3 linked regions of the Danio rerio genome follow. The protein of the gene in region 3 interacts with the protein of the main gene of each other region in a pairwise test. Links are inferred from orthologs where the notes say so. Each region holds a gene or a part of one and is shown on either strand. Other genes may lie near its edges.

Evidence for each region.
Region 1: the proteins of rwdd1 (region 3) and drg2 interact in binary tests that used the Homo sapiens proteins (3 or more experiments, as listed by UniProt). The link is inferred for Danio rerio from reciprocal best matches to the Homo sapiens genes RWDD1 and DRG2.
Region 2: the proteins of rwdd1 (region 3) and drg1 interact in binary tests that used the Homo sapiens proteins (3 or more experiments, as listed by UniProt). The two-hybrid records come from large-scale screens. The link is inferred for Danio rerio from reciprocal best matches to the Homo sapiens genes RWDD1 and DRG1.

What each region holds. Positions count from the first base shown.
Region 1 is NC_133178.1:39,100,879-39,104,316, forward strand, and holds the end of drg2 (developmentally-regulated GTP-binding protein 2), read right to left. Parts: intron 2,915-3,438; coding exon 2,856-2,914; intron 1,449-2,855; coding exon 1,395-1,448; intron 1,305-1,394; coding exon 1,218-1,304; 3' UTR 589-1,217; downstream 1-588. UniProt on the Homo sapiens protein: Catalyzes the conversion of GTP to GDP through hydrolysis of the gamma-phosphate bond in GTP. When hydroxylated at C-3 of 'Lys-21' by JMJD7, may bind to RNA and play a role in translation.
Region 2 is NC_133185.1:22,540,187-22,543,851, reverse strand, and holds part of drg1 (developmentally-regulated GTP-binding protein 1), read right to left. Parts: intron 3,654-3,665; coding exon 3,478-3,653; intron 3,284-3,477; coding exon 3,214-3,283; intron 3,119-3,213; coding exon 2,949-3,118; intron 1,697-2,948; coding exon 1,566-1,696; intron 1,486-1,565; coding exon 1,318-1,485; intron 1-1,317. UniProt on the Homo sapiens protein: Catalyzes the conversion of GTP to GDP through hydrolysis of the gamma-phosphate bond in GTP. Appears to have an intrinsic GTPase activity that is stimulated by ZC3H15/DFRP1 binding likely by increasing the affinity for the potassium ions.
Region 3 is NC_133191.1:35,399,829-35,402,189, forward strand, and holds part of rwdd1 (RWD domain-containing protein 1), read right to left. Parts: intron 557-2,361; coding exon 413-556; intron 1-412. UniProt on the Homo sapiens protein: Protects DRG2 from proteolytic degradation.

The sequences.
Region 1 (3,438 bases), on a different chromosome or scaffold from region 3:
ACGATGCATTTAATGGTCCTTAAATTTTTTAAATAGACAAAAAAACGTATGAACATTTATATGTATATTTAAACATGTATTATATCATCTTTGCATCAAATTACAAATAACCACCTGAGTTGAGTGTCTATGTGGGTAAATTTGACGTTGTTCTCTCCTCTGGCTGTCGATATTAGTCTCACACATTATGTTTTTCCTTTTTCTGAAAGTCTTGATAACACTGTCGTGAAGTTTTTCTTTTATTTAAGCAGATGAGATTAAAAAAATAATCTGATGTAACTACTCTCCCATTCACTGTGCTCTTAATTGACCAAACTATGATGACTTCCGCTACTGAAAAACGCGGAAATGTGTAAGGGTCTATTTTGATCTGTTATTTTTTATGTGATGCGAAAGATTACACATTACTTCTTTAAGTATGACTTAAATTAAGATCAAGAAGTGACTTTTGACAATTTATGAAATTATAGGCTGTTCTCAATGATACACATTGTGCATAGAGTTGTATAGAGTGGAAAAATCTAACCATCTATACAAAATCCACAAATTCATGTGAAAACCCTACAAATGCCTTAAAAACAAAAAAAATCACATTGATTCTTTTATTTTCAAAAATACTTCAAATAATCAGTTTCTCTCCAGGTTTAAAATACACTTGAAGATTTTGTTTGTAAAAACAGATAATCCCACATTTTTAGTAATTTTCAGATTTTTGTTTTTTGTTTACTGCATTGTTTTGTTTGTTTGTTTGTTTGTTTGTTTGAAAAGCACAACTACAAAACACATGGAAATTTCTAAAAATTGGACTTTAACAATATCCAGAAATCAAGTTTTTACATTGAGTATTGAAGAGTACAACTGCAAAATAATAATAATAATAAAAATAATAAATCTTAAAATTTCTAAATATTGTGGCTATCTGTTTTTGCAAATAACCCTAAACTTTAAATCCACAATTTGCCAATTTGTCATGTATTTTTACTGAATCCCAGTGTGCATGCCTAACTCAGTTATTTAATAAAACACTTTTTATTTACTTATGAAAGGCAAACAAGAATCTGAAAGTTATTTATTATAATGGGTTTTGTCAGGTGATTTTCATAAACTAACTTTTCAATTGTCGATATCACAGGTGAAGCTGCTTGAAACATTGCAGCTGTTAACAGAAAACGTATCCAATGTTCTGTTGATACTGTAGTGGATCTGGAGACGAGATTTTATTTCTTCACAATTTGAATGACATCCTCGTGCTCCATGATGTGGGTCAGTCCTACTCTCTGAGGACTGTACTTTGTGCTTGTTCCCTGTAAACCAAAAACACAAGAAGTAGTTTAGGAAGACAAACATGTATGGGACATGAGCAAGAATGTGTTTCAGATGAAGGGAGCTCTTACCCAGACAAGTGCATACTTGAACTGGCTAGCTAACGTCCGGTGGATTCTGTGACACTGGAATACATAAGAACCAGAATCAGCATTATCAAAAGCTTCATTGACCTGATTCTGCGAGTTGGCACAACCATTTGAATCTTTTTAGATCTAGACTTCCGGTCTCATTCATTCCATTAATTTTAAGACATTAATCACAGCTTGTTATGCTGCTTGATTTTGCAAACTGATATTTTCTTATTATATTATTCTGCTTGGTCTGTAAAGTCATGAACACACTTGTTTGTTAAGCAAGTAGTTTGACCATATTCTGCTGTCTATTACTCCAAGTCAATTATCTCATAGTCAACTGAATCAGAAGTTCTAAAACAAATCGCAAAAATTAGCACATCTCCACAGTCAGCCATAAGGTCAATTGCTAATAATGTTCTCAGACAAAAGGAAGTAAAAGGTTAAAGTAATAACTTCTGTCTTTTAGCAGATATGTATAGTAGATATCTTATGAGAGATTTGCTTTGTTTACCAAGTAAGTGGATCTAATAGGATGTGCATGGTAAACATTAAATAAAAGTTACAAATTAATTTTTTTGTCATATGTTAAGTTTTTAGTTACGACACTCCCAAAATCATTCTGCATAAATCCGCAGATTTTTAACAGAAATAGCAAAAAACGTCTGCAGATTCTGTCTGCCCTACCAATGACTTAGCTAATTCAGCTAACTTGCTTAGTTAACCTTATTAACCTAGTTAAACTTTTAAATTGCATTAAGGTGAAAACAAGTATCTTGCAAAGTAACTAGTGAATTATGTACGGTCATCATGGCAAAGAAAATAAATAAATTATTAGAAATTATTTCTTAAACCTATTATGTTTAAAATGTGTTGGGGAAAAAAAACTTCATGTTGACAAATATTAGAAAAACAGAACTAACATTACATAGGAGGGCTAACCATTTTGTCTTTTATTGTATTTCATAATATCAAAGATCAAAGGCCCATTTTGGTATCCCCTCAAAAAAAATTTTCAAAAGTGACCGGCTTGTAAATGTCTTGTGAAAAATAGATCAAAATGTGAGTAAACAGTAACACACATTCATGTACAAATTAAACAACAGTATTTCTAAACTGTACTCATTAATATACAAAAGAACACATTATCATAGAAAATTCGATGACTTTCATATAAATGCGCGCACACACACACACACATACACACACACACACACACACACACACACACACACACACACACACGCTTTGACCAAAAAAGTCACTATATGTATTTAAGCAAGCAAATATGACAATCTTTATTACAGTTATTAATAAATTTCTGCATTAATATATAGAGTCACAGGGTTCATATTCGGAAAGGTGGCTTCATTTTCACATTTGAATTAACCACCAAATGTCCTGAATGCCACTGAAAGTCTAGAGTTATATAAAGAAAGTAGATATGTATAGACGTACCACATGTTTAACTGATGCTGCTCGTCTCATGATTATAGGGTCACCGAAATCTGGTCGTTCTACACAACAACAGAAAATACAGTCAGATTAAGAGGCAACAAAAACAACCACTCAAACATATATACAGTTATGGCTTTTAACTTAGAGAATCAATTGAAACATCTACAAAAAGGATTTTTCAATAAAAAAAACTCTCTTAATCATCACCTTAGTTACAAAAAAACAAAAATATATAGACTAGCAGTTAACACTATTGTATTAAAGCCTTTAGTCACTTCATAAAAACACTGTATGGTGATGAATCGAGGCACTTCTTTATAAATACCATAACGTCAGGTCTTATTTAGGAAATTAAGAATTGCTGCTAGGTCAGAGGTGTCCAAACTCGGTCCTGGAGGGACGGTGTCCTGCTGAGTTTATCTCCAACTTGCTTCAAAGCATCTGCCAGAAAGTTTGTAGTATATCTAGTACTAGCTTGATTCACTTGTTCAGGGGGTGTTGATTAGGGTAGGAGCTAAACTCTCCAGGACAGAGTTTGGACACCCCTGTGGGAAGGGTCACTGAATTTAACACTACTCCTGTT
Region 2 (3,665 bases), on a different chromosome or scaffold from region 3:
AAAACACTTGGAAATTCCAATAGTTTTCTGCAGGAGCGTTAATCTCTGTGAGCCTATAAATCATTCAGGTATAATGAAATAGTATAGTACATTACTGAGAGTTTACAGTCTGTGCTGATCTTGGATCATTACACATTTGCAGATGATTTAAAGCGGAGCTATTAAGCCTCTTTTTACTAGATGCAAAATAAGTCTCTGACGTCCCTAGAGTGTGTTTGAAGTTTTAGCTCAAAATACCTAACGAATCGTATTTTATAACTCCTTGAAACTGAAACTTTCAGGCTTTCACCAGAATTGTGCAGTTTTGGTGGCTCTCTCTTTAAACTCAAATGACATTGAGCTGCAAACACCTATGCTTTAGCATAGAAGCAGATTCAAAGAATGAATGTTCTCTCTATCAATGACTGAAGGCTAAGGAGGAGGCAGTCTATGGAGCCTACAGTGTTCATTTGTGCATCCCAAAACTCAGCATTTAAAATGTCTCTTAGTCGCTCACATTATCTTTAGCAAGTATGGTGAAAACACTAATGGTGGACAGCTGCTTCTCACTCAGGGCTGTTTATGTCACTAAGGACAGATTGACACCATGGGGTGGGGCTTTCCTCCCTGATGACATGCTCAAAGTTTTTATCAAGTGTGATAATAAAAAAGGTAATTATTATTATTTTTTTTTATTTGAAGCTGGCTATATTCACACACTGTTGCCACATAACTGTGCCCAAACTCCTTATGGAAGTGATTTTTGCACAATAGGTCCACTTTAATGAGAGGTTTTTGAGATGCATTTAGAGGACTGACCAACAGGTGGCGCCAGGATGTTGCGTTTCAAAAAACACTGAACACTTTGAAACACTGAATCATTTCACCAAGCAATTGTTTCGGTTGATTTAAAGCTTTGATTCTTCCATTTTTACTTTTATCATCTCAGTTTTCACAATTAGATGTTTTTTGCAGTTTACACTATGATGTCATATGGATGTGAATTATGTGTTCAGTTTTTAGGTATACGCAAATATGTACTACAGGACTGTAGTGTTTCTTAACAAGAGAAGTCACCAATCTCGGTCCTGGAGGGCCGGTGTCCCTGCAGGGTTTAGCTCCAACTTGCTTCAACACACTTGCCTGGGTGATTCAAGTATACCTAGTAACACCTTAATTAGCTTGTTTAGGTGTGTTGGATTAGGGTTGGAGCTAAAAATCTGCAGGACACATACCTTCAGGAATAAGTTTGGTGACCACTGCTTTACGAAGTGAAAAATCATCAAACTCCGCTGTCATGTAAAAAATTGCTCCCAGAATGCAGTGAAGGTAACTCACATGCGCACTAGTTGCAGGTAATCCCAGATCTTTTCCAACAGGTCATCAAAGTTCCAGCGGTGGTGAGCGGAGATGGGCACGCAGTGAGGGATTTTGTAGATAACGTCCAGCTCCTCGATGGAGATTTGGTCGATTTTGTTGAGGACATAGATGCAGGGAATGTAAACCCTAGAGGAGGAAAACCAGCATGTGAAAATCTCTTCTGAAGTGAGAACGCTTGAGGATTGAGGTTGAGAATTTGCTCCTACCGGTTTCCCTCCACCACGTCAATAAGGTCATCGGCTGTAGCGTCGCTGCGTAGGGTAATATCTGCATTGTGGATCTTATACTCGGAAAGGATGCTTTTGACAGTGTCACCGTCCAGCTCACTTTGGGCACACTAAAACAGAAAGACACAATGACAATTGCAAACACAACTTATCTGATGAATGACAGACATTAAAAGATGGAAGCACATGTGATTCTGGCCTACTGGAACAGAATTGTAGCCAAAATAAACAATATTTTTGGACTGGACATAGATATAAAACCCTTTGTCCCTTCTTCTGAGTTTTCCTTGCAAACTAATCAGGAACAAGTATGAACAACGACTCCTCTGCCTGTTAACTTTTGCTGTCAGGAAGAACATTTTGATGTCATAGATCAATGATAAGCTCCCTTCCTTAAGAGGATGGCATTCAATAACTCAAGAGATTATTCCCCTGGAATACTTAACATGTCTAAGCCACTCCACAACTGATATATTTATTCGCACTTGGACACCATATCTGGACAGTATAAACCTTGCTTTATGTGACATTTTGAAACTCGGAATGACAATGTCCGTATAGACATTCATTCTTGTTTTCTGTTTTCATCAAACTTTTCACTCTTCCTGCCATATTGTAATGTTTATAACATAATAGCTTATGGCTTTGGCCATATGTATATTTTAGTATATGCAGTTGTGTTTTGTGTCAGGCATTTTATGTTGTGTTTGTATTTTTGTTTTGTGTATGTCAAAAAAGAAAAAACAAATAAAAACATTTAAAAAAAAAAGAAAAGAAAAGATGGAAGCGAACATGCTGAGGCAAGCAAAAAGGCATTAACAATATGGCTAAAACTAATGAAATGATTAAAAAAATTATAAAAAAAATATGCCAATTCTGTTCATGTTATGAGAAACTGATTAGTGTCAAAAAAATGTGTATTCTCTTTTACGATATACATATAAGTCAAATTGCTTTTCAAATGATAAATGTAAAATTAAACTTTGGTAAAAAAATAGATAAAATCATTGTATCAAAAGGACATTTATAAATAATGTAATATAAATGATAATAAACCCTTTAATATTTCACAATATTAATTAATAAAGTACTGATATAGCCATAATTTACTTACAACTAAATTAAGAACAGTGTATTAGATTATGTAATTTGGAAATTAGTACTGGACAAATATTATAACTGCAATGATAGACATATTGATTTTTAAAAAATGGAGAAAAAAAGCTAATAAAAATGCATTTTGTAATATTATTTCATTACATATAATTATATTAACTTTACATCAACAAACATTTGAAACTTTTTAATACCCAAGTGTGTAAATGTATGCAATAAAGAGCTAATAGTACACTGAAGTCATACAGTGGCAGTGAAGTTGATTCCGCCCTTGTCTTTCTTCTTGAAGCCAATATTTGGTGGTTGCTTGTTGAGCCGAATACCAAAACCTTCCAACTCGTGTTCAATAAGCTTCTTGTGTCCGAGGGGCTTCAGTACATCCAAGACAATCAGAATCAGGTTACAAGTGCGAGCAACTGTTGGAATGAAGAAAAGTTTAGGGAAATGCCAATTAAAAAAACAGAACTGCACTACAAGTGTCTTGTTATTATCTGTGTTAACAGTCTATTACCAGCAATGACTTGTCGTCCTCTTCCTTTGCCGTCTTTTGCCCCCTCAATGATACCTGGGAGATCCAGAAGCTAACAAAGAAAATAAGAAACACACCATTAAAACGATAGACCTTACATTCAGAATGCATCATTTATGTCAGTCATTCAGCAAGGTTGTACACCTACTTTACAAAATGATGAATCACTAAATCATGTTATACCTTTCAACACTGTCCAAACGCAACTTAATCAGGTATGTAATGGACTACTGCAAAATGGTTCACCTGGATTTTCGCTCCTTTGTAACGGATCACTCCTGGTACAGTTGTCAGTGTTGTGAATTCATAGGCAGCCACTTCAGAATACACACCAGCCAAGTTACTCAGAAGAGTGGATTTGCCTACTGATGGGAAGCCCACAAAACCTATTCGGGCATCACCGGTTTTAGCCACATCAAAACCTGAGGGGGGAA
Region 3 (2,361 bases):
ACAAAAGAAATCACCTGCAACTTGGATGTCTTAAAATTAAGAATTAATTAATGATTTTTTTAAATATTTTTTTTTGGAACATTTTGATTTTGAATAAAGCCTGAGATTCACCCAACAAAATATGTAAAATAAAAAAACAGTATTATTGTAATTAGAAGTACAAAATCAGGATTGAAACAAATGATACAGTCTCATATTTGACCAAAATTGTAGAGTTTTTTTTACTGGCTACATTTATTTTGGCTGTGGTGTATTCCCGACTAATAATGTCCATTAGATAGAGCCTCCAGGATAGATCGGTTGGGTAAAGTATCCCTTTAAAATGATCTTCTCATTGTCTCCTGAATTTCATGTCATAGATCAGGATAGTTCGTACACTGAAAGGTGAAAAAAGATTATTATTAAAACAGACCTTCTCAGCTTCTTCGGCCTCCTTTTGTTTTCTTTGCTTCTCCTCTTCTCGTCTGCTTTTGATCTGGTCGATTATTTCATTTAGTTTCTCCTGCACAGCGGTCACTAATGTGAATATCATCACCATTCCTAGATTTTCTTCGGCCTTCAAAAAAAAAAAAAAAAAAAAAAAGAGGTTGTTAATAGCCTTTGATTAGTCTCAACCCCATTTCATGCAAACAAAGGCAACTGGAAATGCTTCTGCGCTTTTACATTTTTGTGTGAATTAATAAAAACAGTACTAGTAGTAATACTAGTAGTATTCCTTACATTTATATAGCACTGTACTGGACACTCAACGCGCTCAACACATTAAATAGAGTCAGGCCGACATCTCTCATAATTCCGATAAGTAGCCCAAATTGTCTGTCAGCAAACTGCACAGCCGTTTGTATGCAGCTTCGCTGTATGTGCATTGTGCGTTCATGAGAGAGAGATCGAGAAAAAACGGGAGAGAGAAGGAACGTGCGTGCGATCTGTAAAAACATGCTGAATCAAAACTTTTTAAAAACCTGAATCAATATTGGAGTTACCTTGGCACATTGGAGAAAGGGTGACACCATGGCAGAAGGATTTCTTTTAGAAGGGTAATGTTCTGTTTTAAAACAATTTTAGCTTCACACAAAGCTGATGTACGTTAACGTTAGATGATGTTGTTACAAATGGGTTATCTGCACAGAAGTGTTGTTCAGCCACTAAGATCTTCTGGATTGATGATTGATGTGACTGTTTTCAGTTTCATAATGTCCTTTTACAGCATCGATAAAGTAGATTTTAATTAGTTTTCATCAAAACAAGTAAATAGCGCTATTCCGCCTAGCCTGCTTTACTGAGGTGAAGATGGTTTTATATTCACATCACATTGGTTCATTTTTGAAAAATGATGACCTGTGACCCGCTCCTTATATTGTTTACCATGCTTTTCTGAATATTCGCTCTGAAATAGCATGTCAGTTTAGCTTAGTGATGAGTGTAATTCCTGCTTGCCGTTGCTTTTAACACAGAGAGAGAGTTCTGGGATCTTTCAGGTGTGTGTGCTCAAGCTTCAGGAGGCGTGGCTCAGGCTGGCAGGGGAGGGACTTTGATTCAGAGATTTATGCTTAGCTGTTAGCATTGTGGAAGATCACCTACTGCACCTTTAGAACCTACACAGACCGCAGGTTGAGTACCCCCTGCTGATCTCACTAACACCACTTCCGGCAGCAACCTAGCTTTCCTATGTGGTCTCCCATCCAGGTATTGACCAGGCGCAGCCCTGCTTAGCTTTAGTGGGCGACCATGTGAAAGTTACAGAAAGCTAGCTGCCGGCTGATGGGAGTGTTGTGTTTTTTTTAATGGTCTGCCTGGATTAAAGCTTTAATGATGACAAACTCTCTTATATGAAAACTGTTGTGCTAACACCCATGACTCTGGTGCTTGTTTTGATCAACCATGTGCTGGGTTCTAAAAGGTTATGTTTGGTTTATAACAGAAGCTTTAAAAACAAGCCATCGGACACTATTTTAAAGTGAAAAACCATTGCAAATGTTTCAGTTTGTGGGTAAACTATCCAATCCCGTTTTATATATTCGGGTGAAAGAGATTCATTCACCTAAAACAACTGACTTTTTGATGTGTAAATTAATGTAGATAAAAATGATACTTAGGTTGGTATATGGCAGGGGTGATCAACCCTGTTCCTGGAGATCTACCTTCCTGCAGAGTTCAGCTCCAACCCTGATCAAAAACACCTGAACCAATTAATTAGAACTTGAACATCACTTGATAATTAAAGACAGGTGTGTTTGATCAAGGTTGCAGCTAAACTGTGCAGGAAGGTAGATCTCCATGAACAGTGTTGGGCACATCTGGTATATGGTAATCTCTACTGACTGACAATTCTAGTGTCAGAATATGCCCATTTCTGCAACT